2 linked regions of the Elephas maximus indicus genome follow. The protein of the gene in region 2 interacts with the protein of the main gene of each other region in a pairwise test. Links are inferred from orthologs where the notes say so. Each region holds a gene or a part of one and is shown on either strand. Other genes may lie near its edges. The genes, in order: SCOC and FEZ2.

Evidence for each region.
Region 1: the proteins of FEZ2 (region 2) and SCOC interact in binary tests that used the Homo sapiens proteins (3 or more experiments, as listed by UniProt). The link is inferred for Elephas maximus indicus from reciprocal best matches to the Homo sapiens genes FEZ2 and SCOC.

What each region holds. Positions count from the first base shown.
Region 1 is NC_064823.1:2,551,620-2,566,932, forward strand, and holds the start of SCOC (short coiled-coil protein), read right to left. Parts: upstream 6,186-15,313; 5' UTR 6,092-6,185; coding exon 5,986-6,091; intron 5,958-5,985; exon of another isoform or gene 5,780-5,957; intron 78-5,779; coding exon 6-77; intron 1-5. UniProt on the Homo sapiens protein: Positive regulator of amino acid starvation-induced autophagy.
Region 2 is NC_064844.1:27,844,871-27,861,017, reverse strand, and holds the start of FEZ2 (fasciculation and elongation protein zeta-2), read right to left. Parts: upstream 8,128-16,147; 5' UTR 8,095-8,127; coding exon 7,835-8,094; intron 1,574-7,834; coding exon 1,465-1,573; intron 1-1,464. UniProt on the Homo sapiens protein: Involved in axonal outgrowth and fasciculation.

The sequences.
Region 1 (15,313 bases), on a different chromosome or scaffold from region 2:
CGTACCATCCACGTCTGCGTTCATCATCTTGGGTAACAAACTTCTGGGCCTTGGATACAAAATTCTTGATGAATGACCTGCAGTGAGGAAAGACTCAGAAATATAAACACATACAGCAACACAAATGCTTTTTCAAAAGATTTAATTAAATTATTGACCTAATAGGCTCCTTATCACATGCTTTACTGTTTCTAAGAATAAAATAAATATCCAACTGCAACCAACCCAAAACCAGACCCACTGCCACTGAGTTGATTCCAACTCACAGCGACCCTAGAGAACAGGGCAGAACTGCCCCATAGGGTTCCCGAGGCCGTCACCTTCACAGAAGCAGACCGCCACGTCTTCCGCAGAGCAGCCGGTGGGTTCGAACTGCTGGCCTTTCGGTTAGCAGCCCAGCACTTCAACCACTGTACCCCCACTGGTTGCTATCCTTATTCGATAGCAAAGGGTGTGTATAAATAATTTACAAGAGAAGTATGTTAATGAACAATAAAATATGTTCAGTTCTTTGGTAATAAAAAAAATGCATAATAAAATGAGATACCCCTGTACATCTATTAGGAACCCTGGAGGTGCAGTAGTTAAGAGCTAAACAAAAGGTCGGCAGTTCAAATCTACCAGCTGCTCCTTGGAAACCCTATGTGGCAGTTCAACTCTGTCCTATAGGGTTGCTGTGAGTTGGAATCGAATCAACAGCAACCGGTTTGGTTTGGTACATCTATTAAATTTTTTTTTTTTAAAGGCAAGAGAATGATTAATACTAGTAAGGTTTTGGAAAAACAAATACACAAATATTGGACACAAATTTTCAATATGTATTTTTTTTTTTTGGAAAGCAGCAATAATAAGATTCATAAAAACATGTAAGTCTTTTTTACTAAGTAATTTTACCCTTGGAAATTTAACCTAAGGACAATGACAATGAAGGAAAAAGTTACACATATAAAAATGTTCACTTCAACCTTATTCACGACCTAATACATTGGGAACAACATAATTGTCCATTCAGATTCTGCTGTAATTTCTAATACAGTGGCTACGAAAAGTAATTATGATGACTGTAACAACATGGAAGAATGTTTATGAAATTGTATATTCACTGATGTAAATTATGTAAAAGATGAATAAATATGTATAAAACAAACACAGCAAAATGAAAAAGTTATTAAAGACAATGGTAAGGATGAAGACCAATCCTTTTCAAAATACTCTTCATCATTAAAGTACTGTTTTACAGATACTGTTTACCAAAAAAAAAAAAAAAAACCTGTTGCTGTCCAGGGGATTCAAAAGAAAAATACTATGTATCTAAAACACTACTATGGAATAAATGGAAGTTTTCCATGTCACCTCTTGGTTATAGTTAAACCAAAACAGATGAATCCTGCTGTAAATAAGTAAAATACTAACATATCATTGTTCGGATAAAAGGCTCCAAAATATCAGACCACAAAATTCCAGGGGAACATGTTCTGCTAACCTGATAACACTGATTTCACCTTCAAAGTGCTGAAAATATATTAAATAATCCTACCAGATTGCTACCAAAAACAGATCTTTTAACTCATCTACTACACTGAAGCAACCTAGACCTGTTTTGTCTATGGTGTTATTCTTTCACCAAGTATTTATGAAGCATTTACTACACCTAGATATTGTTGTTTCCATATGCTAACCAGTGAAACCCAGCCCTATGGAGCAAGGATGTCTGTACACTAGAAACTAGACTCACAACCACTTATCCATTGTTACAGGTGCTCTCTCCCACTTCTTTTTCACATGGTTCTGTGCACTTCAAAGAATGTATATCTTGGTATATCCATGTAAATCTAAATAGACTGATTGGTATACATTCTTTCAAATGTTCTTTTTTTGGTAACTTATTCAACCTATTCTGGTGTTTGAAGATCACACTTAGAAAATTATTCCTCTCCATTCAATCTCTTATAACAGAAGAGGAAGAGTGTTAGCAAGGAAGGCCTGATTTGACACTTCCCTGAGAGATGCATATTTCTAAGGAGGTCCAGTCATCCTCACTTTTCATACCATTTCAACCACTCATCTGGCTGAAGGAGGGCTGGGAGAGATGACAGAGGCAACAGCCAAAAGCAAAAGTAAGTGACTTCAGGAGGACTCGGCCACAGTAGACTGCAACTTGGCCATTTCCCCTGTACACCTTAGCTTTTGATAAAAAGAGCTTAACATTTCTATTATCCAGGTTTTTGAGTTTTTTGAAGAATACAGCTAAAACAATTTTCATAATATATGAGAAGAGTTTTACAAGCGAAAGCAACTAATAATCATGAAATTAAATACATGTGATTTTGAAATCTGATGTAGTATGGGGATGGGATATACTTATTTTGCTTATGTTTCTTTCTAACATTAAAATTAAACCAAAAAGTATTCTACAAATGCACAAGTGTTTCAGACCAATCACTGTCGAGAATAAAGAAAAAAAAAGCCAGGTTCTGAAATTTTGGTCACATTGTTTGGCTCAAACAGAAAATCTATAAATAGCTTATCAATAGTTTGACTTCATCTGACACAAAAAAAAATGAAAAAAAAAAAAGCAGAAACAACAAGGGAAGAGAGGCCTAGAGGCCTAATTAGGTGAAAAATTGCTCTAAGAAAAGCACAGTTGGGACTGATTGACAGGAATGGGGGAGCAGGACAAAAGCTGGGCCACCAGGACAGTCCTGTAGGCTATACCACACAACCTAGGCAGCACCAGTCACGGAGTCTGTGTAAAAGACACACCCCAAGGGTTGTACAGTACAAAACCTGCCCAACTGTATGTCACAGCCCTATGCAAAAGGCACTACTTCTAAATAAAGTAGACCAGAGCATTATCTGCTGTCTCTCCACAACAACAAAAAGTAGCAATTTTCTCCTATTGCAATGTAACGAAATACTACGACCTCAAACACTGTTCTATTGTATATATTCAAAATATTTCTGTAGATTTTAGAGTAACAAGCTGACTTCCTTACTGGGATCAAAGGGTTTATTGAGATCCCTGTGTCAAAATATTTCAGGCGTGGATATTATTTTCTTTCAAAATACAATCAATCCTCAAACTGCAATATTTAGCCTAAAATATTATCACACACTACACCACAGCATATCATAATTATGTACTCAATACAAGACTGATTTTTCCAACTATAAAATCCTTCCTTATCTACAGTTGCTATCACATCTATCCAATTCCACGTCAAATGTACTCTTATGAGTTCATTTTAAACTCTTCTCATTCCTACACATAAATGGAAATCTGACTTGAAAAGAAAATCTAATCCAAAGTATCTCAAGTGCAAGAACACTGAAACAAATGTGGGGTGCTGCGGCTCTGTTCAAGCCAAGGCTGCCCTGTCTACCCTGCTCCTGCCTTAGCTCTGAAATGGACATGATGCTCCAAGAGCCTTCAACTTCAACCAAGCCTAGGTCACACATCTTATAAAACTTCTCAAAAATCACAGTAAATTTTGGTGCCTATCCTCAACCAGTTGTGGTCAGTAGTAGAGAACCCAGAATTATTCTGATAATTTAAGTCCAGGAACCAGAAGGTAGGGTGAGAACAAGGATCAGGAAGTATGGAAAGCATTAGGACAAGATCCATTTAATCACCTAAGTTATCTTTTCTGTGCCCACACCTAACTGTGACCAAAGACTATCACATTACCCAAATATACCTCTACGTTTCTACTAATAGTATCACAACATCCCTCTTCTCAAGAGGAAGTTTAGCACAGTGATTAGGAACACGAACTTTGCATGGATTCAAACCTTAGCTCTGCCATTTATAAGCTCTGAAGCCCCAGATGAGGTTAACATCTCAGCCTCAGTTTCCTTATCTGTAAAGTGGGAAAAACAACAGAATGTACCTAGTGGGGTTGTTGTGAGGATTTAATGAGTTGATACACAAATATGCTTGGAACAGTACCTGTATATACCACATTTTTCTGCAAATAACACATCCACACATATAACTTGCATAGCACGCCTAGGAAAATAATGCGTGAGAGGGGTGCTTAAACAATTCAGGCCAAAGAGCCTTAGAAAAATCATCTGGTCTACCTGCCAAAGATGAGAGTGGCTTACCCAAGATCATAGAGCTAATTATCAACAGAGCCAAGACTGCAGCCAATGTCCCACTGTGGGTTTTTCCACCATTCCATTACCGCTATGCTCACACATGAGGCTTAAGGTTTTAAGACTTTTCCCTGTTATTTGCCCAGCCTAAACCACCAAACTTTTCTGCATCTAAAACAGATTTCCATCTATAATCTACCAACCATCCTCTGTCATCTACTTATAATGGACTCGTAAAACTACTAAAATAATATCTTTGCGCATTAATGTACTAAATGCTTTACTTATTATTTCATCAAATTGACAGAAGGACATTGCAATTTACAGATGTGGACACTAAATCTCAGAATGGTTATGTATCTTGCCTCAAGTTTCACAACCAATGTCTGTACCAAGAATCTGAGCCCAGGTCTAACTTCAAAGTCCCTGCTTTTTCCATTAAACAACGAAAGAAATTTTAATATGGCCCTAATCAAAGTTTATGGAGCCCTGGTGGTACAATGACTAAGGGTTAGGCTACTAACTGAAATGTGGGTGATGTGAACCCACACAGCACCCAGCGGGAGAAAGACCCAGAGGTCTGCTTCGGTAAGCATTACTGTTGTTAGGTGCCACAGTTGTTTTTGACTCATGGTGACCTCATGTGACAGGAGAACTACGTCATAGGGTTTTCTAGGCTGTAATCTTCACAGGAGCAAATCATCAGGCCTTTCTCCCACAAGGGCTGATGGGTACAATCGCCAACCTTTCAGTATCCCTTAGCCTTTGCACTATAAAAATCACAGCCAAGAAAACTCTATGGGGTGGTTCTACTCTGTCATTTGGGCTTGCTACGAGTCGAAAACGACTAAACGGCACCCCACAACAACAGCAATGAAAGTTTGCCCAACATTTTACAACCCCTGATGCTGAAGATAAATTTCATTCCCTTTAAACTGCATCGACTTTGCTCAGATTCACTCCAATTCAGTGTTTTAACTTGGTTCTGGTTAGATACATTACGTTTCAAATTCCTCAAGATCAAATGAGGATCTGAACTCAGGCTAGATCCCCAGAGAGGGGCTAACCATGTTGAGTTTTGTCAGTGGGGCTCACGAGGATATACAGGCATGGGTCCTCACAGGAAGAGAGACCGGGTTGGGAACAGCAGGCAAGTAACTGCTTTTAATGTTGTTATGTCATAGTACTAGTGAGACTGATACACTGGATAACAGAAGCCTTCCTTGCCTTTCTAGGAAAGTAGCCTTTTTCCCCCCAATCCTTAACACACAGCCCAAACTTGTTCAGCAGGACTCTTGTGAGAAGCCAACGGAGAATCAAAGCCGGGTGCTGCCGTCAGCGCCTGGATAGGCCCCCAGAGCTCATCACACCGCTCGCCCGCCTCCCTCCCCGCCTCCCCGTCCTCTTCCGGCCCTATTCCCCAACTCGGACTCTCGGCAGAACAGCCAGGGCAGGTCCAGTCGTGCCGGGTCCCATCCCGCCCAAACGGCCCTCCCGCGGTCGCGATCCCGAGGACAGCGGGAGAAGGCGGCAGGGGGCAGGGGGCCGGGGCTGGGGGCCGGGGGCTCGGGCTGGGGCCCGGGGGCCGGGGCTGGGGGCCGGGGGCCGGGGGCCGGGGGCTGGGGCTCGGGCCGGGGCCGGGGCCGAGGCCGGGGCCGGGGGGGGCCCGCCCCACAGGTACCTCTGGCCCGATAACGCGATAAGCGAAGGAAGGTGGCGCGGGGATCTGCAGGAAGCCAGGCCTCAGCCGCCCACCCACCGACTGCCTAGGCGGAGGCCGCTCCCCCGGCCCTCGGGCTCCGCCCGCGTCCCCGCCCATCCCGCCTGCCGGCCCTCGGCGGCACAGACGCCGCTACTCCAGGCTCCCCGGCCCGGAACCGCCCTCACCTGCCGTTCGAGGCGCCGCGACAGGGACGGGCTGGGAAGACGCCTCAGGCCCGGACACTTGGGCCCACTGACACGGGCAGCCCCGCCTCCTCCGCTCACGGAGCATGCGCCGAGCCAGAAGTCCCGCCTCGGCCCACACAGCTGCCAGCCAATCATCGCTCAGAGTACACGCCTGCGTACTAGCTGCCCGGCGCCCCACTCTTCCTGGCTCAAAGCACCTGATCTATCTTTTGCTGTAATAAAAGGACATTGGCTTCCAATCAGGATTCAGGTCGTTGTGGGCAAGGAAGGATGGGCGTGTCCGGGAAGAGCAACAGCCAATGAAAGTACGGAGGCGAGGTTAAGCGCGTGATAGCCGGTCCAGGCGATGCAGCTCTTGGGCCTCACCACCCCCCACCCCCACCCCCAGCCCATCCCCCACCACCCACCCCCAGCCCCATCCCCCACCACCCACCCCCAGCCCCATCCCCCACCACCCACCACCCACCCACTGCCATCAAGCTGATTCCGACTCATAGGGACACTATAGAACAGAGCAGAACTGCCCCACAGGCTTTCCGAGGAGCACCTGGTGGATTCAAACTTGGTTAGCAGCTGTAGCACAGCAAAAGGAACAAACCAAACCGGTTGCCGTGGAGTGGATTCCGACTCATGGGGACTCTAAGACAGAGTAGAACTGCCCCGTAGGGTTTCAGAGGAGTGCCGGTGGGTTCGAACTTTCAGTCTTTTGGTCAGCAGCCATAGCTCTTAACCAGTATGCCACCAGGGTTTCCTCAGTCTCTGCAGTAACCTGAAAATTGGGATCAGAAATCCTGACCGGATAATCCCGGCTGCTGTCAGGAAAACGGTTGCTTTAGCCGAAAGGTAGGCGAGGGAAAAATCATTCAAATTTAAGAAAGGGGCATTTGTGAACTGAAGAGAGAGAGAGCCAAGGCAATACCTTTGTTCCTTGATTCTAAAAGTAGACTTTACCATATTTTTTATTTCCCAAATTGAAATGCTCGTAAAGTGTCCGTGAAGTGGAATGTTCTCCCTGCCTGCCTCCCTCAAACTATTATTAAATCTTTAGTGCCCCTGACAAATGATATTTTAGAATTGAGAAAATACTTCAATAGCACTTTAGTATAGCGCTTTTGCTCACTTCATCGCACTTGACCCTCACATCAACCCAAGAAAGAAACTGACGCTTAGAGAAAAAGAAATCTCTTGCTCAAGGTCAAACCTGCAGTACAAAATGACACACGCCAGCTTTCGGATGATAATGTGGTCTTGCTTGACACTGTTTATCGATGTCTAGCAATTGGCACATGGCACAATCCTGCTTGTTTTTAGTATTTGTTTTTTTTATAAGGTGGGGACACCAGCAGAGATCCATGTTTTGACTTTGGCACAGTCTCCGGAGCTGCTGGGGTTAGCCTCATGCCTGCCTGTTTCTTTCCATTTTGCTTCTGTCACAGTTTGCTGATATACAGCCTTAGTCCTTTTAAGGGCTGCATTAAAAAAATCTTCCATTCAGTGTTTGAGAGCTCTACATTTGGCCGGAACTACAACGCACAACTTCAGGAAATTTACTAGCATGCAATACCGGAGATAAATAAACGGAAAATAAGAAAAGTCTAACATTAATAGAAGTGCCAAAAGGAGAGACCAGAGAGAATGGGGCAGCGTTCAAAGCATTTTCCAGGGTTGGTGGAATATTTAAATGCTCAGATTTAAGAAGCACTTATTGTTGAGCAAGATTAATGTAAAGAATTCCATATGTAGACACTTCGTGCTGAAACAGTAGAACACCAAAAAACAAAAGAAACTACGAAAAGCAACTTTTAAAAATGTAGTAGTGATACAAGGATAAACAAAAAGAAAATTGGAAAAGAAGGTGCCTGTAAGTATACAATTACTGTGTCAGATATAAGTGTTGCTAAGGATGTGGGGAAACAGAACTATTATTTGTTGCTATTGGGAATGTAAATTAGTACAATAACTTTGTTCATTGGCCATAGAAAAAATAAATTATAATGGAAAGCTCAACTGTGTCGAATACTGTTGATCTGTTAAATATGGTCAGGACAGAGAACTGACCAAAAAAAAGAAAAAAAAAAAATCCTTTATGATCACGGCACTAACAAAGTCAAGTTTTTACTTGTTTGCTCGCTTTTTGCTTGTTATTTATTTCTAATTTTATCGTATCTTTAAGGAATCTATGACTTTTGTTTATTTATTTGCCCTTACAATTAATCACTGTCCTAGAAAATTATTATGAAAGAATTAAAAAGCCAATTAATTTACATTTCCTACTTGTTAATTCTTTCCAAGTCTAAGAATTGCTCCTTTCTACTCTCCTTATCGCCATAATATTTAAATGTCAGAGAGCCAATGGGCTGGGTCCACAGACCTCTTCTCTATTTATACTCACTATTTAACCTTATTGCCATTGGTCACCATCTATATGCTGTCAACTCTGTGATTTATATCTCCAGCATGGATCTTCCACTTAGGCCCTAGACAGGTATAGCTAACTCTCTTCTCAACATCCCACTTGTGTGTCTACTGGGCATGCCAAACACAATATGGTAAAAAAGAAAAAAAAAAAAAAAGAACTTATTATTCCATACACATACCCCAAACTTGCTTTTCTCACAATCTTCTTTATCTCAGTAAATGGCAGCCCTGTCTGTCCAGATGCTTAGATCAAACACCTTGGCATAATCCTTGACTCTTCTTTCTCTCATATACTGCATTGAATTCAACAGTAAGCCCTGTTGATGCAGGAAAGTATATCCAAAATTTGATAATCATTCACTGTCTCATCTCCACGTGCTCTGGTCCAAGCAATTCTCTTTTGGATCTGGGTTACTGAAATAGCTTTCTGACTCCTGTCCTTGCCATGCACACATCCGGGCTCTTCTCTACATAGTAAAAAAAAGTAGCAAGAGTGATATTTTAATGTGGGATGCAAAGTGACATCCACTTAGTCTCAGGATGCAGAAAGCTGCAAATGAATGTCATTCCAACTTAACAATGAGAACACAGCCAGATAACCTAAAAAATTAATAATGTTTAAACTACCAGCATCAATTTAATGTGAAAGTGGTGCTGCTTCGGTGAAACTGCATTTTCACTCCCAACATGAACAGACTGCTGACCGCCAGAGGTCAACACGCCTGCTCGGGAGCCCTTCTCCTGTCACTCCCAACATGAACAGACTGCTGACCGCCAGAGTTCAACACGCCTGTGTCGGGAGCCCTTCTCCTGTCACTCCCAACATGAACAGACTGCTGACCGCCAGAGGTCAACACGCCTGTGTCGGGAGCCCTTCTCCTTTCACTCCCAACATGAACAGACTGCTGACCGCCAGAGTTCAACACGCCTGTGTCGGGAGCCCTTCTCCTGTCACTCAAAACATGAACAGACTGCTGACCGCCACAGTTCAACACGCCTGTGTCGGGAGCCCTTCTCCTGTCACTCAAAACATGAACAGACTGCTGACCGCCAGAGGTCAACACGCCTGTGTCGGGAGCCGTTCTCCTGTCACTCCCAACATGAACAGACTGCTGACCGCCAGAGGTCAACACGCCTGTGTCGGGAGCCCTTCTCCTGTCACTCCCAACATGAACAGACTGCTGACCGCCAGAGGTCAACACGCCTGTGTCGGGAGCCCTACTCCTGTCACTCCCAACATGAACAGACTGCTGACCGCCAGAGTTCAACACGCCTGTGTCGGGAGCCCTTCTCCTGTCACTCCCAACATGAACAGACTGCTGACCGCCAGAGTTCAACACGCCTGTGTCGGGAGCCCTTCTCCTGTCACTCCCAACATGAACAGACTGCTGACCGCCAGAGTTCAACACGCCTGTGTCGGGAGCCCTTCTCCTGTCACTCCCAACATGAACAGACTGCTGACCGCCAGAGGTCAACACGCCTGTGTCGGGAGCCCTTCTCCTGTCACTCCCAACATGAACAGACTGCTGACCGCCAGAGTTCAACATGCCTGTGTCGGGAGCCCTTCTCCTGTCACTCCCAACATGAACAGACTGCTGACCGCCAGAGTTCAACACGCCTGTGTCGGGAGCCCTTCTCCTGTCACTCCCAACATGAACAGACTGCTGACCGCCAGAGTTCAACACGCCTGTGTCGGGAGCCCTTCTCCTGTCACTCCCAACATGAACAGACTGCTGACCGCCAGAGTTCAACACGCCTGCTCGGGAGCCCTTCTCCTTTCACTCACAACATGAACAGACTGCTGACCGCCAGAGTTCAACACGCCTGCGTCGGGAGCCCTTCTCCTGTCACTCACAACATGAACAGACTGCTGACCGCCAGAGTTCAACACGCCTGTGTCGGGAGCCCTTCTCCTGTCACTCCCAACATGAACAGACTGCTGACCGCCAGAGGTCAACACGCCTGTGTCGGGAGCCCTTCTCCTGTCACTCCCAACATGAACAGACTGCTGACCGCCAGAGGTCAACACGCCTGTGTCGGGAGCCCTACTCCTGTCACTCCCAACATGAACAGACTGCTGACCGCCAGAGTTCAACACGCCTGTGTCGGGAGCCCTTCTCCTGTCACTCCCAACATGAACAGACTGCTGACCGCCAGAGTTCAACACGCCTGTGTCGGGAGCCCTTCTCCTGTCACTCCCAACATGAACTGACTGCTGACCGCCAGAGTTCAACACGCCTGTGTCGGGAGCCCTTCTCCTGTCACTCCCAACATGAACAGACTGCTGACCGCCAGAGGTCAACACGCCTGTGTCGGGAGCCCTTCTCCTGTCACTCCCAACATGAACAGACTGCTGACCGCCAGAGTTCAACACGCCTGTGTCGGGAGCCCTTCTCCTGTCACTCCCAACATGAACAGACTGCTGACCGCCAGAGTTCAACACGCCTGTGTCGGGAGCCCTTCTCCTGTCACTCACAACATGAACAGACTGCTGACCGCCAGAGTTCAACACGCCTGTGTCGGGAGCCCTTCTCCTGTCACTCCCAACATGAACAGACTGCTGACCGCCAGAGTTCAACACGCCTGCTCGGGAGCCCTTCTCCTTTCACTCACAACATGAACAGACTGCTGACCGCCAGAGTTCAACACGCCTGCGTCGGGAGCCCTTCTCCTGTCACTCCCAACATGAACAGACTGCTGACCGCCAGAGTTCAACATGCCTGTGTCGGGAGCCCTTCTACTGTCACTCCCAACATGAACAGACTGCTGACCGCCAGAGTTCAACACGCCTCTGTCGGGAGCCCTTCTCCTGTCACTCCCAACATGAACAGACTGCTGACTGCCAGAGTTCAACACGCCTGTGTCGGGAACCCTTCTCCTGTCACTCCCAACATGAACAGACTGCTGACCGCCAGAGTTCAACACGCCTGTGTCGGGAGCCCTTCTCCTGTCACTCCCAACATGAACAGACTGCTGACCGCCAGAGGTCAACACGCCTGTGTCGGGAGCCCTTCTCCTGTCACTCCCAACATGAACAGACTGCTGACCGCCAGAGTTCAACACGCCTGCTCGGGAGCCCTTCTCCTTTCACTCACAACATGAACAGACTGCTGACCGCCAGAGTTCAACACGCCTCCGTCGGGAGCCCTTCTCCTGTCACTCCCAACATGAACAGACTGCTGACCGCCAGAGTTCAACACGCCTGTGTCGGGAGCCCTTCTCCTGTCACTCCCAACATGAACAGACTGCTGACTGCCAGAGGTCAACACGCCTGCGTCGGGAGCCCTTCTCCTGTCACTCCCAACATGAACAGACTGCTGACCGCCAGAGTTCAACACGCCTGCGTCGGGAGCCCTTCTCCTGTCACTCCCAACATGAACAGACTGCTGACCGCCAGAGGTCAACACGCCTGCGTCGGGAGCCCTTCTCCTGTCACTCCCAACATGAACAGACTGCTGACCGCCAGAGTTCAACACGCCTGTGTCGGGAGCCCTTCTCCTGTCACTCCCAACATGAACAGACTGCTGACCGCCAGAGTTCAACATGCCTGTGTCGGGAGCCCTTCTCCTGTCACTCCCAACATGAACAGACTGCTGACCGCCAGAGTTCAACACGCCTGTGTCGGGAGCCCTTCTCCTGTCACTCCCAACATGAACAGACTGCTGACTGCCAGAGGTCAACACGCGTGCGTCGGGAGCCCTTCTCCTGTCACTCCCAACATGAACAGACTGCTGACCGCCAGAGTTCAACACGCCTGTGTCGGGAGCCCTTCTCCTGTCACTCCCAACATGAACAGACTGCTGACCGCCAGAGGTCAACACGCCTGCGTCGGGAGCCCTTCTCCTGTCACTCCCAACATGAACAGACTGCTGACCGCCAGAGGTCAACACGCCTGTGTCGGGAGCCCTTCTCCTGTCACTCCGAACATGAACAGACTGCTGACCGCCAGAGGTCAACACGCCTGTGTCGGGAGCCCTTCTCCTGTCACTCCCAACATGAACAGACTGCTGACCGCCAGAGTTCAACACGCCTGTGTCGGGAGCCCTTCTCCTGTCACTCCCAACATGAACAGACTGCTGACCGCCAGAAGTCAACACGCCTGTGTCGGGAGCCCTTCTCCTGTCACTCCCAACATGAACAGACTGCTGACCGCCAGAGTTCAACACGCCTGTGTCGGGAGCCCTTCTCCTGTCACGCCCAACATGAACAGACTGCTGACCGCCAGAGGTCAACACGCCTGTGTCGGGAGCCCTTCTCCTGTCACTCCCAACATGAACAGACTGCTGACCGCCAGAGTTCAACATGCCTGTGTCGGGAGCCCTTCTCCTGTCACTCCCAACATGAACAGACTGCTGACCGCCAGAGTTCAACACGCCTGTGTCGGGAGCCCTTCTCCTGTCACTCACAACATGAACAGACTGCTGACCACCAGAGGTCAACACGCCTGTGTCGGGAGCCCTTCTCCTGTCACTCCCAACATGAACAGACTGCTGACCGCCAGAGGTCAACACGCCTGTGTCGGGAGCCCTTCTCCTGTCACTCCCAACATGAACAGACTGCTGACCGCCAGAGTTCAACATGCCTGTGTCGGGAGCCCTTCTCCTGTCACTCCCAACATGAACAGACTGCTGACCGCCAGAGTTCAACATGCCTGTGTCGGGAGCCCTTCTCCTGTCACTCCCAACATGAACAGACTGCTGACCGCCAGAGGTCAACACGCCTGCGTCGGGAGCCCTTCTCCTGTCACTCCCAACATGAACAGACTGCTGACCGCCAGAGTTCAACACGCCTGCTCGGGACCCCTTCTCCTGTCACTCCCAACATGAACAGACTGCTAACCGCCAGAGTTCAACATGCCTGTGTCGGGAGCCCTTCTCCTGTCACTCCCAACATGAACAGACTGCTGACCGCCAGAGTTCAACATGCCTGTGTCAGGAGCCCTTCTCCTGTCACTCCCAACATGAACAGACTGCTGACCGCCAGAGTTCAACACGCCTGTGTCGGGAGCCCTTCTCCTGTCACTCCCAACATGAACAGACTGCTGACCGCCAGAGGTCAACACGCCTGTGTCGGGAGCCCTTCTCCTGTCACTCCCAACATGAACAGACTGCTGACCGCCAGAGTTCAACATGCCTGTGTCGGGAGCCCTTCTCCTGTCACTCCCAACATGAACAGACTGCTGACCGCCAGAGTTCAACACGCCTGTGTCGGGAGCCCTTCTCCTGTCACTCCCAACATGAACAGACTGCTGACCACCAGAGTTCAACACGCCTGTGTCGGGAGCCCTTCTCCTGTCACTCCCAACATGAACAGACTGCTGACCGCCAGAGTTCAACACGCCTGCTCGGGAGCCCTTCTCCTTTCACTCACAACATGAACAGACTGCTGACCGCCAGAGTTCAACACGCCTGCGTCGGGAGCCCTTCTCCTGTCACTCCCAACATGAACAGACTGCTGACCGCCAGAGTTCAACACGCCTGTGTCGGGAGCCCTTCTCCTGTCACTCCCAACATGAACAGACTGCTGACCGCCAGAGGTCAACACGCCTGTGTCGGGAGCCCTTCTCCTGTCACTCCCAACATGAACAGACTGCTGACCGCCAGAGGTCAACACGCCTGTGTCGGGAGCCCTACTCCTGTCACTCCCAACATGAACAGACTGCTGACCGCCAGAGTTCAACACGCCTGTGTCGGGAGCCCTTCTCCTGTCACTCCCAACATGAACAGACTGCTGACCGCCAGAGTTCAACACGCCTGTGTCGGGAGCCCTTCTCCTGTCACTCCCAACATGAACTGACTGCTGACCGCCAGAGTTCAACACGCCTGTGTCGGGAGCCCTTCTCCTGTCACTCCCAACATGAACAGACTGCTGACCGCCAGAGGTCAACACGCCTGTGTCGGGAGCCCTTCTCCTGTCACTCCCAACATGAACAGACTGCTGACCGCCAGAGTTCAACACGCCTGTGTCGGGAGCCCTTCTCCTGTCACTCCCAACATGAACAGACTGCTGACCGCCAGAGTTCAACACGCCTGTGTCGGGAGCCCTTCTCCTGTCACTCACAACATGAACAGACTGCTGACCGCCAGAGTTCAACACGCCTGTGTCGGGAGCCCTTCTCCTGTCACTCCCAACATGAACAGACTGCTGACCGCCAGAGTTCAACACGCCTGCTCGGGAGCCCTTCTCCTTTCACTCACAACATGAACAGACTGCTGACCGCCAGAGTTCAACACGCCTGCGTCGGGAGCCCTTCTCCTGTCACTCCCAACATGAACAGACTGCTGACCGCCAGAGTTCAACATGCCTGTGTCGGGAGCCCTTCTACTGTCACTCCCAACATGAACAGACTGCTGACCGCCAGAGTTCAACACGCCTGTGTCGGGAGCCCTTCTCCTGTCACTCCCAACATGAACAGACTGCTGACCGCCAGAGTTCAACACGCCTGTGTCGGGAACCCTTCTCCTGTCACTCCCAACATGAACAGACTGCTGACCGCCAGAGTTCAACACGCCTGTGTCGGGAGCCCTTCTCCTGTCACTCCCAACATGAACAGACTGCTGACCGCCAGAGGTCAACACGCCTGTGTCGGGAGCCCTTCTCCTGTCACTCCCAACATGAACAGACTGCTGACCGCCAGAGTTCAACACGCCTGCTCGGGAGCCCTTCTCCTTTCACTCACAACATGAACAGACTGCTGACCGCCAGAGTTCAACACGCCTCCGTCGGGAGCCCTTCTCCTGTCACTCCCAACATGAACAGACTGCTGACCGCCAGAGTTCAACACGCCTGTGTCGGGAGCCCTTCTCCTGTCACTCCCAACATGAACAGACTGCTGACTGCCAGAGGTCAACACGCCTGCGTCGGGAGCCCTTCTCCTGTCACTCCCAAC
Region 2 (16,147 bases):
TGGATTGGACTGGACAAAGGGTTGGAGAGGGATGCTGGTGAGGAGTGAGCTTCTTGGATCAGGTGGACACTTGGGACTATGTTGGCATCTCCTGCCTGGAGTAGAGATGAGAGGGCAGAGGGGGTTAGAAGCTGGTGAAATGGACACAAAAAGAGAGAGTGGAGGGAGAGAGCAGGCTGTCTCATTAGGGGGGGAGTAATTGGGAGTGTATAGCAAGGTGTATATGGGTTTTTGTGTGAGAGACTGACTTGATTTGTAAACTTTCACTTAAAGCACAATAAAAATTATTTAAAAAAAAAACACAGGCTAGGATTCTCACTAAGTGTTCTCAGCACATCAAAATAGTGTTATTCAAAGACACAATCTTTGATGGTTACAAGGGAGGGGACAGGCAGAGATGGAAAAACACTAAACAGACAATAGATAAGTGGTAACTTTTGTGAAGGGTAAGACAGTACACAATACTGGGGAAGCCAGCACAACTTGTACAAGGCAAGGTCATGGAAGCTCCATAGACATACCCAAACTCCCTGAGGGACTGAATTACTGGGCTGAGGGCTGTGGGGTCCATGGTCTCAGGGAATATCTAACCCACCTGACATAACATAGTTCATAAAGAAAATGTTCTACATTCTACTTTGGTGAGTAGTCTGGGGTCTTAAAAGCCTGTAAGCAGCCATCTAAGATACTTCACTGCTCTCATCCCTTTGAGAGCAAGAGAGAATGAAGAAAACCAAAGATACAAGGGGAAGATTAGTCCAAAGGTCTAGTGGAACACAACTACCACGGCCTCCACCAGACGGAGTCCAGTACAACTAGATGGTGCCTGGCTACCACCACTGAGTCCCCTGACAGGGATCACAATAGAAGGTCCCGGGCAGAGCTGGAGAAAAACGTAGAACAAAACTCTAACTCACAAAAAAAACACCAGACTTACTGGCCAGAGACTGGAGAAACCCTGAGAGTATGGCCCCCGGACACCCTTCTAGCTCAGTAATGAAATTACTCCTGAGGTTCACCCTTCAGCCAAAGATTAGACAGAAGGCAGAAGGGGACACGAAAGCTGGTAATAAGGAACTCAAGGTCAAGAAGGGAGAGTGTTGATATGTCGTGGGGTTGTTAACCAATGTCATAAAACAATATGTGTACTAACTGCTTAATAAGAAACTAATCTGCTTTGTAAACCTTCATTTAAAGTACAATAAAAAAAATGTTATTCAAGCTGGAAAAAAATGCTGATAGGTGCCAGTCATATACAAGTGATAGAAATTTAGCTAAATATTCACAAGTGAGCATGCTGGGCAAGAACTGGAGGAAAGTGCTAGCAAGTTGATAGCAGGGGAGACAAAACTGCAATACAGGACCACTCCAATTTCATACACTTGGAAATAAGAGGCAACACAATGAATGTGTCTTAGTTCCATTCTCAGAATCAGTTGTTCAGAAACTACTGGTCTAACTTACCCCTTTTTCTGAGAGGTTCAGAGTAAGCAAGTGCAAGGTCCTGGTGTGGGATGACTTCCAGTCCACAGGCATTACGTTTCCATAATTATCTGTCAGAGCATTCCAAATCCTCAAAAAGAAGAAAACCACAATCAACAAACATTAACATTCCACATGTCTTTTATTAAACAAACATTTATCATAACAGTGGAAGAGGAGTCCCTGGGTCGCACAAACAGTTAACACGTTCGGTGGCTAACCAAAAGGCTGGAGATAGGGATCCAGTCAGAGGCTCCTCGGAAGAAAGGCCTGGGAATCTACTTTGGAAAAAATCAGCCACTGAAAGCCCTGTGGGGTACAGGTCTACTGACACACATGAGGACGTCATGAGTCGGAGCTGAAGCAACAGCAACTAGTTTTACCGTGGAAGAAGAACGCCGAGTATTAAAGAAGAAAAACAGAAGACACATCGTTTCTCAGAAAAACATCACCAAAGTAGAGCATGATAAACAAGACTAAATGGAAATCATATAACTGGGCTGACAAGTCCTCAGGAAAGGTAGCGTAGGAAACTCCCAAAGTCAGTATGTGCCCAGCTCCTAGATGTTTACAAACTATTACTACTGATGATAATGGCGAACACTTCAACTGTACTGTGTGCCAGCACTGTCATAAGCAATTTACATATATCAACTCACTTAATCTTTAAAAACAATATTATGTGGTAGGATGCATTATTACCTGTTTTATGGATGAGGAAACCAAGGCACAGAGAGTTCAAGTAATGTTTCCAGGCCACACAGGTAGCAGCCACACCATACTTTACACTTTTCTTTCTGTAACTTTCAAACATATTAAAAAAAAAACTTTGCCATCGAGTCTATTCGGACTTGTAGTGACCCTACAGGACACGGCAGAACTGCCATAGGGTTTCCAAGGCTGTACTCTTTACAGAAGCAGGCTGCCACATCTTTCTCCCACAGAGGGGCTGGTGGGTTCAAACCACTGAGCTTTTGGCTAGCAGCCAAGCATTTAACTACTGCACCACCAGGGCTCCTTCCAAACATATAGACTGTTTCATAAAAGTCAATAATCTCTCTCTAACCAAAGATGTGTTATACTTTCTGAAGAAAAGTACCCCTATTCAGGCTCAATGCGAGTAGAGACAGGGATTTTAAATCTAATTTGAAATATAATAAACTAACAACTAAGACAGAAATGAATGAAAGGAGAAAGAGACAGACTTCGCAATGAAATATCTACTGCAATTACCCTACCTTATTATCAAATGGCAGTTTGGGGCAGCAGTAGGGTAAAACGAAAATGGCACTTGACTGAGATTCAGGAAACACAGACTCCTGTCTCCATTCTTCCGTAAACAAAGAGTCTTTGGACAAGCCCCTTAACCTGTCTAAGTATCAGCCACCCTTCTATAAAATGAGAGGCTTGGACAAGAATAGCAGACATTCCCTCTAGCTCTATTAGTCTAAGTATTGATTCAAATGAGTTGCATTGAGGAAAGTCTCAAACACACCAGATATGGACAACAAGCTCCAGTTTCGTGACTGAAATTCAGGTTTCAGTACTAAAGTAACAATCAGCGTAATAAAACATGAAGTTGTATGACAAAAACAGAGTTCGGAGATACAAATGAGATGTATCTCATTAACTGGGCAAGTAAAGTTAAACACTACACATAAAAGCTATTTCATGGCTGTGTTGTCGTTAGGCGCCGTAGAGTCATTTCCCTATGTACAACAGAACGAAACACTGCCCAGTCCTGCACCATCCTCGTGATTGTTGTTATGCTTGAGCTCATTACTGCAGCCACTGTGTCAATTCATCTCGAGGGTCTTCCTCTTTTTCACTGACCCTCTACACTACCAAACATGATGTTCTTCTCCAGGGACTGGTACCTCCTGATAACATGTCCAAAGTATGTGAGATAAAGTCTCGCCATCCTCACTTCTAAGGAGCATTCTGGCTGTACTTCTCCCAAGACGGATTTGTTCACTCTTTTGGCAGTCCATGACATTCAATATTCTTCGCCAACACCATAATTTAAAGGCTAGAGGTATACAAATGGATGTCATAAGAAAAAAAAAAATCTGAAAATTATAATGGGTATCTAATTGTGAATAGTCCCTGGGCAGCACAAGTGGTTACGCGCTGGACTACTAAGCGAAAGGCTGGGAGTTCAAACCCACCCAGAGGTGCCTCAGAAGACAGGCCTGGCAATCTGCTTCTAAAAGGTCTCAGCCACAAAAGCCCTATGGAGCACAGTTCTACTCTGCATATACAGGGTTGCTATGAGTCGGAATCAACTTGACAGCAACTAATGTCAACAATTGTGAATAAGCAATTCAATAACTGGTTGGAATTTTTCCAAGTGTAAGCCACTGGAAAACAAATACGATACAATGGGCACATAAAAATAAGAATACAAGATTTTAAAATAGTGAGGCAGCATACTTGATTTAATGAATAGGGATTTAGTGCTAAAAAGCAGCAGCCATGGGACCACAACTGCCAAATCATAAAGTCCCAAAAGACGTTTGCCTTTGGAACGCACATTCAGCCTCGCTAAAAACGTGAACTCAAGAAGCTCTTGAAAACCATCTCGTTTACCCAGCAAATCCCCATTCGCACAGCTCATTTCTATTCTCCTCTCTGTTGGAATCAGGTCTCCTCTAATGCCAACGTGCCAGGAAAAGATGTTAAGGCCTCTGGGTTGCTAACCTTGCCGGGTTTCTGGTCCACACCTTCCTGGCTGAAATTTTCAAATACTGAAGCAGTGACTGCATATCTAAACCCTGGTCATGAAAGTCAGTAGGATAGTCTAGCAGGTGAAAATAGTCCATAGTTTCTGGGTTTTGTTTTGTCTGCTTGCCTGCTCCTTCTTAAATGAGACTATCAAAAAAAGGACAAGCGCAATGGAATACTTTACCTAGAAGAAGGGATTGTGGGTGAATTTGATCTTCTAAGAAAATAAAGAACAATTAACAGTCCTCTAATCTACCAGGTGCTCCTTGGAAACCCTATGAGGCAGTTCTACTCTGTCCTATCCTATAGGGTCGCTATGAGTCAGAATAGACTCCACGACAATGAGTTTTGGTTTTCATCTCCACCAAGACCAAAACAATTGCAACTGGAAGGACACAGGGCCAACTTACCTGAAAGATTTTTGGAATTCTCCAGTCAAGACATGAACTGTCTTCATGCTTATCATGTACATATTACAACCAATCACAAACAACAGCTCTAGGGAGGTCAAAGTCTGACAACACTGAATCCTGAAGACACCCTTCTAAAGTAAAGCCTTGGTAGATAAGTACACTCTGTATCTAACCAAAACTAAAGCTGGACTCAGAACAGTTAAATAAAGTGCCCTGTTGTTGTTGTCCTTAGGTGCCATGGAGCGGATTTTGACTCATAGTGAGCCCATAGGGCTTTCTTGGCTGTAATCTCTATGGAAGCACATAGCCAAGTATTCCTCCCACAGAGCCACTAGGTGAGTTTGAACAGTGGACCTTTCAGTCAGCAGCCCAGTGCTTAACCACTGACTCGGCAGGGTTCCTTAAAATGCCCTAAAGCAAGGGAATATCTGAGAAAAAGAATTCTAAATCTCTAGTGAAAGGAGCATGATGGGCTCTATCAAACAGATTCAGGCACTGGAAAGGGGACAATGACCATGGTGACCAGCCCCAGGCCCTGAACAGAGAAAAAGAAATTTCTTATGTACCAAATCGAGGGATGTGTACTACCAGGAATATATCTACTAAAAACTGTTTTCGAACGTAACAAAATATTTTAAGTTTCACATCAACCTGTGATCTAAACAAAGGCTTAAAACAGACTGCTTCCAGACAGTACTTGTGAGGCAAAAACAGGAACCTCTAATTGTCTATATACAAACCACTGATGTGTTTTGAGTATGTTAACTCTTGATACGTAGTAAATTTTAAAATCCAGAATACGTTGTGAGTTCTAGCGATTCAGGGCAGGTACATCTACACATATATAGCTATTTTTTCTTTCGGAATAGATTCCAAAACTGTCATCTTTGTTGTTGACAGCATGCATATTTGTGTGCATAAAATCCATCATAAATTTTTTTCTCCTCTGCCTGGGCAGAACACTGTGAAGATGTATCAGTAAAAACATACAGTTTTGCCAAAACAGAAAGACAATGAAAAGATCAGGGGTGGCCAAGGGCTCAGGGGGAAGGGTGGAAAGATGAATAAGCAGAGCACAGGGCATTTTTAGGGCAGTGAAACTATTCTGCATGATATTGTAATGGTGACACATGACATTACGTATTTGTCAAAGCCCATAGGGCTGGACAATGCAATCAGTGAACCCTAATGTAAACTAAATGAAATGTTGCCTGGTCCTACTCCATCTCTATGATGGGTTAAAGATTAGACTGCTGTGATCCGTAGGGCTTCCAGTGACTGTCTGGGAATCGACCACCAGGCCTTTTCTTTCTAATTTGGGTTAGTCTGGAAGCTCCACTGAAACCCGCTCAGCATCACAGCAACAAGCAAGCCGCCACTGGCAGATGGGTGGTAGCTCCACAGGAGGTGCACTGGCTGGGAATCAAACTGAAGGCTCTGGCCTGGAAGGTGAGATTTCTACCACAAAACACCACTGACTCAGCTAATAACATACCAGTGATGGTTCCCCAACTGTAACAAATATACCACAGGAATGCAAGATAGAAACAATAGAAAAAACAATGCCTATGGGGTGTATTTGGACTCCGTACTTTCTGCATAAGGATCCCTGGTGGTGCAGCAGTTAAGTACTTGGCTGCTAACCAAAAGTTTGGAGGTTCAAAGTGTGAGTGGGAATCTGCTCCTAGAAAACCCTATGGGGGCAGTTGTATTTTGTCACATGGGATCACTATGAGTTGAAATCTATTTGCCGGCACCTAACAACATTCTTAAATTTTTTTTTTTAACAACATTCTGCATAATCTTTCTGTAAACCTAAAACTGCTCTAAAAATTAAAATGTATTTAAAAACTAAAAGTATATATATATATAGTCTCCAAGCACAGCTGGGCCATACACTGCTTAGCACTGTTTACAAGCCCGTTTCCAACTCTCCTCAAGTTCCCTACCTCATCCCTGGTCTATCTCCTCGTTCACAGAGGAAACCGAAGCCATCATGCTGGAACACCGTTCTGTGCCATGGATCCTTCTCCCTCTCTGAGAGAGACTGTGTTCCCTAATCTCTACTCTCTCCACCCCACCAATGCTCTGAAAACCATCCCTACCCACATCCTCAGTCCTCACTCCGTTAATTTTACCTTCAGCCTCTCCAGTAGCTCCTCTCCCCATGTATATACAATATGCTCACTTTCTGAGCTCTCACTTTTGACCATCTTCTGAGGTAAAATGCCGCTTTGTAGTTACAACTTTTACTCCACCACATTATAACTGGGGGTCAGGGTGGTCAAATAAAGTGCTCCAGGAGCTCTGCTGTTGCCTCTTCCCCAGCTCTCATAAATCACTGTGAATTTCTTATCTTTGCATTTAGGTGGCTCTTCCCACTGCTTATGCACTGGCCTCCCCACCACACTGTAAGATCCTTGCCATTAATATCCAGAGCCCTTCCTTTTAGCCTCTGCGGCAGCTTGCACTCTACCTGGACACTCTGCAGGGCCCAATAAATACCTATGGCATAAGTGCTGTTTCACACTTAGTACTTTTAAACGTGGGATATCATCAGCCCAGAACGCCAGACCTTTCTTCACCTGCCAGGCGAACTCCTGCACATTCACCTGGATCCAGTTTTCACAGCTTTCTTTATGAAGGCTTTCCTGACTCTCCCCCACACATCTTTTAGATCGCCCGTATTTTGCGCACATACCCATTACAGCACTTTTCAGACCATACGAATCATGTGTTTTCAAATCAATCTCCCATCCTAGGCTGTGTCCTACTTTAGAAAGACAGTGTCGCAGTCATCTTGTATTCCTAGCGCGAGGCACTGCCTGGCACTTAGCAGGAGCTTAGTAACTGCTCTTTGACCGAATGAATGGCGACACACGTGCCCCAGTGGGGACGGTCTCTCACTACGGGCTGGGTACAAGGAGGCTCCCTCTAAACCAAACACCGGCTTCCTTTCTATGAAAGAGGGGACGGAGGGGCAGCGGCGGAGCGTCGAGGCCGCGTGGGAGGCGCGGACCCGGGATTTGATCTCCCAGCTCGCAGGGGCTGCAGAGGCCGGAGGCGCAGTGGAAGCGGGAGGAAGAGCAGGGGGCGGGGACTCCTGGTCCATGGAGGCGGAAGGGGGTGCGGGGAGGAGCCTGCGCCGAAGTCCCGCCGAGGCCGCGGACCGGGCGACGGGGGAGGGAGGGAGGGGAAGGAGGGGCCGCACTCACTCGTCCCCCTGCAGGAGGCTGCGCTCCGTGATGGGCCGCACGGCCGCCCGCGGGGGATCGGCCCCCGCGCCCGACGGCCGGAAACACAGGCTCAGCTTCTCCTCCAAGCTGCGGGCCAGCGCGGGGAAGCCGATACCTCCCCCGCCCGCCCCTGCCCCGGCCCCGGCCTCGGGGCTCGCGTTACAGTTCTCCTCGTCCCGGAGGCTCCGGGCCGGCTCCTGGAACTCATAGAAATCCTGCCAGTCCCCGTCGGCCGCCATCACCTCCCGGCGCCGCCGCGCGCCCCGCCCCGCCGGCCCCGCCCCGCCCCGCCCCGCCGTCGGCACCGACCCGACTGGCCGGGCCCCGCCCCGGTCCGCCCCGACGTCCCTGCCCAACCCCGCCGTCGGCCCCGACCCGACTGGTCCCGCCCCGCCCTGACAGGTCCCGTCTGGCCCCGCCCCGCCCCGACCGGCCCCGCCCTTCCCCGGCCAGCCGGCCCCGCCCCGGCCGGCCCCGCCCCACCCTGCTGTCTGGTCCTGACGGCTCCCGCCCCGCCCCGGCCGGCTCGGCCCTCCTCGCCGTCGGCCCCGCCCCACCCCGGCGGCCGGCCCCGCCTCCAAATACCGTGTCCTACCCCCTTCCTCCTGCTACTTGGAGGTCTTCTGTCCCAGCCACCCAGTTCCCTAGCCTTTCATTTCCCTCCATCTTCTCAGAGTTGACAGTTGGTGCCATACATAGAAAGGACAACCTTCACTGTGTTGAGTCACTGTCATTTCGAAATATCTTCCTTCTTTGTTCTCTTACTGGAAATTTGGCTCAAATGTGTTTAAAATAAAAGATTCCTTTAAGTTGCAGCCTGGGTGGTGCAATCAACCGCTGACATAAAGCTTGACAGTTCAACCCACCCACCGGCTCCAGAAGAAAGGCCCGGTGATCTGCTTCTGTAAAGATTACAGCCAAGAAAAGCCTATGGAGCAGTTCTACTCTGTAACACAGCAGGTTGCCATGAATTGGAATCTACTGGATGGAAGTTTGGGGAAGTGTCCAATTTTGCCCCAAGGTGTTTCCCTAGAGTGTTGTTGTTAGTTGCCATTGAGTGGCCTCCAATTCATGGCATCTTACGTGTAACAGAGCTAAACATTGCTGTTCCTCAGCCATCTTCGTGATCTTTGGTATGTTTGAATTCTTATGTCAATCCATCTCATCAAGTCTCCCTAGTGTAACCCCTCATTAACTCATTCAAACCTGCCGTATGCAGATGACACAACATTGCTTGCTGAAAACAAAGAGGACTTGGAGTACTTATCGATGAAGATCAAAGACTGCAGCCTTCCATATGGATTACACCTCAACATAAAACAAAAATCCTCACAACTGGACCAATAAGCAACACCATGATAAACAGAGAGAAAAAGATTGAAGTTGTCAAAGATTTCATTTTACTTGGCTCAGAATCAACACCCATGGAAGCAGCAGTCAAGACATCAAATGAGGTACTGCATTGGACAAACGTGCTGCAAAAGACCTCTTTAAAGTTTCGAAAAGCAAAGATGTTACTTTGAGGACTAAGGTGCACCTGATCCAAGCCATGGTATTTTCAATCAACTCATACGCATGTGAAAGCTGGGCAATGAATAAGGAAGATTGAAGAATTGATGCCTTTGAATTACAGTGCTGGCAAAGAATATTAAATATACCGTGGACTGCCAGAAGAATGAACAAATCTGTCTTGGAAGAAGTACAGCCTTAGAAGCAAGGCATCTCACATACTTTGGACATGTTATCAGGAGGGACCAGTCATTGGAGAAGGACATCATGCTTGGCAGTGTAGAGGGTCAGTGAAAAAGAGGAAGAACCTCAATGAGATAGATTGACACAGTGGCTACAACAATAAGCTCCAACTTAGCAGTGATTGTAAGGATGGCACAAGAGTGGGCAGTGTTTCGTTCTGTTGTACATAGGGTAGCTATGAGTCTGAAGCACTTGACAGCACCTAACAACATACCAACAACACAGTAACCTGGTCCTTTTATAACATTCCAACCAGAATAACAGCCAGAGTCTCTGGGAAATGCTCAAATGGTACAAAATTCATTCCACAAATATTTTATGTCTCCTACGTGCTGTGCTGCATCCTGTGGAACATATGAAGATTAATAATTATGTGAGTTAATATTTGCAAAGCACTTAGACCAGAGCCTTACACTTAGTAAGGGCCACAAATCCACACTGCTCCCTACAAGGGGCTTACAATGTAGTGGGGGGTGTGATAAGACTAACAGGAAATCTCTCGTATGATATAAAAAATTAGTATGATTTTAAGGTGACTTGATTATATAGAGGCAATAAATGCTTAAGAGTTGATAAGAGTGATAGCTTTGGACTGGAGTAACCAAATACTTCATTTACAACGTGGGCCGAAGCTGACCATGAAAGGGGAGGTATTTTAGAAAAACAAACCTTAAATTGGAATTGGAAAATAAGATTTTTCCCAGTATACTTTGTCCATCTTTTGACAGCATGGAAACCCATCCTCAAGAATATATGTTAATACCAACATTTTCTTATTTCCCATTCCAATTGTTATCTCTTGTCCCATGTTAAACAAAATATTTCTGTGATTGAGCCTAAGAAACTGTTGATAATTACAGGCAAGATTGTTCCCTATTTCCTCCGAAACCTTAAAGGGAGCAAATCCTGAGTTCTGCTTGGCCAAGAGTTAGAACTAATTAACCCAAATCCATTGCTGTTGAGTGGATTCCGACTTACAGTAACCCTGTACGACAGAGTAGAACTATCCTACAGGGTTTCCAAGACTGTAAATCTTTCTCCCACAGAGGGCTGTTGGGTCTCAACTGCCAACCTTTTGGTTAACAGCCAAACTTTTAAGCCACTGCACCCCCTGGTTCCTTAGAACTAATTAGCCACCAGTTAATACCTTTGGGGTTGATGAGAAAATATTCTGGTTCAGCTGACATTTACCTATCTGAACGTTACTCAAAGCGATGCTCTAAACCTATCAAAGAGCTGTTTTTCTCTAGGTTTGTAGCCACACACAAAGTTATGAGAATACTGAGTTGACTCACACTCTCTGAAGTGTGTACATAGATAGCTAAGGCAAAATTGTTTTTTTGTTTGTGTGTTTGTTTTTTCTTCTTGACTTGTATCTCCGTTTACCTATGTGGTCTGTCTGAATCTATGAGTGGAAATAAAATTCACTTACTCTGAGAACCCAAATGTAGCACTGTCAACCTTTTCATTTGCTTGGCAATAAACTGCCACAGGGTTATGATCTCAGAATTTTATTTTAGTCGAATTTTCTACACAGGATGCTTTTTACTTTTAATTAAATGCAAACTACCTTGTGTCACCCTGGACACTTTGAATTGCAAAAACAGGATTTGAATCATTTCTTAATTTATATTTGCACACCCATAATAAGGAAACCCTGGTGGTGTAGTGGTTAAGTGCTACGGCTGCTAACCAAGAGATCAGCAGTTCGAATTCACTGGGCGCTCCTTGGAAACTCTATCAGGCAGTTCTACTCTGTCCTATAGGGTCGCTAGGGGTCCAGAATCGACTCGACAGCAGTGAGTTTTTTTTTTTTTTACCCATAATAAACTTGGCAGTCAATGCAATCTATAAAAATGCTCCAACAAAATGTGTCACTGAGAAAACTGATTATATATGTCTGTGGTTTTACCACTTTATGAGGACCGAGCAATGAGAATAGAAACTGTAGTAGGGAACAAAATGCTAATCTGTGCCTTTACAGATTACAAATAGTCACTGTGAACATGAAAGAGAAATAGCAGAAAACAGTTTAAGTGGTGGGATAACTAACCAGGTAAAATTGTGAAGTAAAAATATTTGTATTCAGTGCCTTCCACAAGCCTCTCCCCATGCGATAAGTGATGACTAAAAGTTGCTCCAGCCTCCCAGAACAGCCGACAGGACACTGGGTTCCGCCCAGGCTGTGGCCCTAGTGCCTGTACCCACCCTTTTCTTTAGCTTCTTTGGTACTTGACTCAGACTGCTCTTACCATCTTATACCCTTTTACCTCATATTTCCTGACAACAACCATAGCCCACATCCCAGCAACACTATTTGCCATTTGCCAAATTCTAGCTTCCTAACATTGCTACAGAAACCCTGGTGGCACAGAAGTTAAGTGCTACAGTTGCTAACCACAAAGGTCAGCAGTTCAAATATACCAGGCACTCCTTGGAAACTCTATGGGGCAGTTCTACTCTATCCTAAAGAGTTGCTATGAGTCGGAATCAAGTCGACAGCAATGGGTTTGGTTTTTTTAACATTGCTACGTGGATGTCAGAAGAGATTCTGAAATTTGCTCTTGAACATAGAGTAGCTAAAGTGAAAGGAAGAAATGATGAAGTAAAAGAACTGCACAGAAAATTTCAAAGGGCAGCTCAAGAAGACAAAGTAAAGTGTTATAATGAAATGTGCAAAGACCTGGAATTAGAAAACCAAAAGGGAAGAACACACTTGGCATTTCTCAAGCTGAAAGAACTGAAGAAAAAATTCAAGCCTCAAGTTGCAATGTTGAAGAATTCTACAGTGTAAAATACTGAACAATGCGAGTAGCATCAAAAGAAGATGGAAGGAACACACGCTGTCACTGTACCAAAAAGAATTGGTCAACGTTCAAACATTTCAGAAGGTAACATATGATCAAGAACCTATGGTACTAAACGAAGTCGAAGCTGCACTGAAGGCAGTGAAGAAAAACAAGGCTCCAAGAACTGACAGAGTATCCAATAAGATGCTTCAACAGAGAGATGCAGCACTGGAAGTGCTCACTCATCTCATCTATGTCAAGAAATTTGGAAGACAGCTTCCTGGCCAACCGACTGTGCCCATTCCAAAGAAAGTCGATCCAACAGAATGCAGAAATTATTGACCAATATCATTAATATCACACACAAGTAAAATTTTGCTGAAGATCATTTAAAAGCAGTTCAACAATACATCGACAGGGAACTGTCAAAAGTTCAAGTGAGATTCAGAGAAGAGGACATAGAATACAAAGATGGAAGGGCTGACTCAGTAGGGGGAGAGTAAGTGGGAGTATGGAGTAAGGTGTATATAAGCTTATACATGACAGACTGACTTGATTTGTAAAAGTTCACTTAAAGCTCAATAAAAATTATTTAAAAAAAAAAAAAAAGATACCATTCCTGATGTAAGATGGATCTTGGCGGAAAGCAGAAAATACTAGAAAGATGTTTACCTGTGTTTTACTGACTACGAAAAGGCGTTCGACTGTGTGGATCATAACAAATTGTGGATAACATTGTAAAGAGTGGGAATTCCAGAATACTTAATTGTGCTCACGAGAAACATGTGCATATACAAAGATGCAGTCATTCGAACAGAAAAAGGGGATACTTTGTGGTTTAAAGTCAAGAAAGGTGTACGTCAGGGTTGTATCCTTTTACCTTACTTATTCAATCTATGTGCTCAGCAAACAACCCAAGAAACTGGACTACATGATGAAGAATGCAGCATCAGGATTAGTGGAAAACTCATTAACAACCTGTGATATACAGATGACACAACCTTGCTTGCTGAAAGAGAAGAGAACTTAAAGCACAGAGCCATCAGTATGGATTGCACCTCAACATAAAGAAAACAAAAGTCCTCACTACTGGACCAATAAGCAACATCATGATAAATGGAGAAAAGATTGAAGTTATCGAGGGTTTCATCAACACCTATGAAAGCAGCAGTCAAGAAATCAAGCAATGTATTGCACTGGGCAAATCTGCTGCAAAAGACTCTTTAAAGTGTTAAAAAGCAAAGATGTAACTTTGAGGACTAAGGTATGCCTGACCTAAGCATGGTATTTTCAGTTGTCTCATATGCATGTGAAAGCTGGACAATGAATCAGGAAGACCAAAGAAGAATCAATGCCTTTGAATTATGGTGTTGATAAAGAATATTGAATATACCATGAACTGCCAGAAGAACAAACAAATCTGCCTTGGAAGTACAGTCAGAATGCTCCTTAGAATGGAGGAGAGCGAGACTTCATGTCATATACTTTGGACACGGAGCCGTGTTTAGTTCTGTTGTACATAGGGCTGCTATGGGTGGGAACCAACTGTATGGCATAGAACAATAACCACAAACATTGCCACATATCCAGCAAAACTTCAGACTTTCTGCCAGTTTTACCTGTTTAGATCAGTCCATCAGCTCCCAAAGGCTTGTGGTAAAGACGAGGTTATCTCACTTTGTTATACCTCACATAGCCAGATTCTACAAGTTTGTCCACCACAATCAGTTCATTTCAGACCTTTTATTTCCTACCAATGCCTAGAGGTCCAATGAAAATATGCTAGCTAAATTGATATGAAATGTTACCCTATAAAACTAATTTTCAGTGCTTGATTCAAAATTAGAAAGGGAATATAGAGTAATGTAGAGAGCTTTGTGGTGCTTGAGTATTATGTTCATATTAATCATTTAAGATGAGAAAAGTTACTTTTCTGGTTTGAAAATATACTTAAATTATGCACATATGTAGTACACCACAGTAGAAATTTAAATAACAAAAAAGTAGATAATTCAACAGATAGACTTTATCTAAGGGTATAATTAATCAGGAAATATAAGAACTGGAAAAAGAAAGAAACTACTGGAGACAAGACCAGAAAATAATCTGGTTGTCAAAGCACCGTATTTAGCAAAAGCTGAAGATTATAAAGCAACCCTAAGACAATGAAAAATGTACATAAATGAAAATTTCTTGAAAAGATAAGCTAATAAAAAAAAAAAACTATTCAATAATTGGAAGAAAGGGAAAAACTGAAGAAACAAAAGGAAAAAGAATTTAGAGATCAATATGTTGACCTAAGAATTTAAACAAATGTTGTTGGCTTGCCAAAAATGGAAAGGGTAGTATTCTTTCCATTTTGTCTCTAGACCACATCCTGAGTGGTCTCAAATGCAAACATGCAGACATCTCAAGCTGTGCGTCCAAACCCCATATACATCTCTACATAGGCTCTCCCATCCCTAGTCTACAACTTGAGTTTCAGGGTTCACGCACTAGGAATGTGTTCTTTCCATTTTGTCTCTGTTTCAAAAAGAAACGATCGAGATCCTTTCAAGTAACTGAAGACCACAACCTAGCCTTTATTTTTTTTTTAATTTTTATTGTCCTTTAAGTGAAAGTTTACAAATCAAGTCAATCTCTCATATAAAAATTTATAAACACCTTGCTATATACTCCTAATCGTTCTCCCACTAAAGAGACAGCCCTCTCCTTCCCTCCACTCTCTCATTTTGTGTACATTCCACCAGCAAAACTTCAGACTTTCTGCCAGTTTTACCTGTTTAGATCAATCCATGAGCTCCCAAAGGCTTGCGGTAAAGAAGAGGTTATCTCACTTTGTTATACCTCACATAGCCAGATTCATCTCCCCTCCAGGCAAGAGATGCCAACATAGTCTCAAGTGTCTACTTGATTCAAGAAGCTCATTCTTCACCAGCATCTTTTTCTATCCCATTGTCCAGTCCAATCCCTGTCTGAAGAGTTGGCTTTGGGAATGGTTCCTGCCCTGGGCTAACAGAAGGTCTGGGGGCCGTGACCCCTGGGGTCCTTCTAGTCTCAGTCAGACCATTAAGTCTGGTCTTTTTATGAGAATTTGGGGTCTGCATGCCACTGCTCTCCTGCTCCCTCAGGGGTTCTCTGTTGTGTTCCCTGTCAGGGCAGTCATCGGTTGTAGCCGGGCACCATCTAGTTCTTCTGGTCTCAGGCTAACCTAGCCTTTATTAATAAAGATTGTTTAATTCTAATTATTCAAGTTTGATAGGGATGCATCTTTAGTGAATAGTTATGCCTTCAGTTTCAATGCATTTAATTAGGACCTTGATCAAGCAGAACCAGGCTGAACAGAAACAGTGGAGGGCCCCCAATAGAAGGAGCCAAGGTGACTTTCCATAGCTGAGCCCTTACAAAGTACTAAAATAGCTGGATTGGAAAGAAACTGCCAAGCACATGCCCTGTGATCTGGATAATCAAATGCTAGTCTCAGAAGGATTACTGGCGGTAGTTTTTTTTATCTAAATTATAATTGTTCTAATAATTTAACCAGTCAAGAAATCAAACGACATACTGCATTGGGCAAATCTACTGCGCTCTTTAAATTATTAAAAAGCAAAGATGTCACTTGAGGGCCAGTGTGCCTGACCCAAGCCAGGGTATTTTCAATTGTCTCATATGCATGTGAAAGCTGGACAATGAATAAGGAAGACTGAAAAATAGATGCCTTTGAATTATGGTGTTGACAAAGAGTATTGAA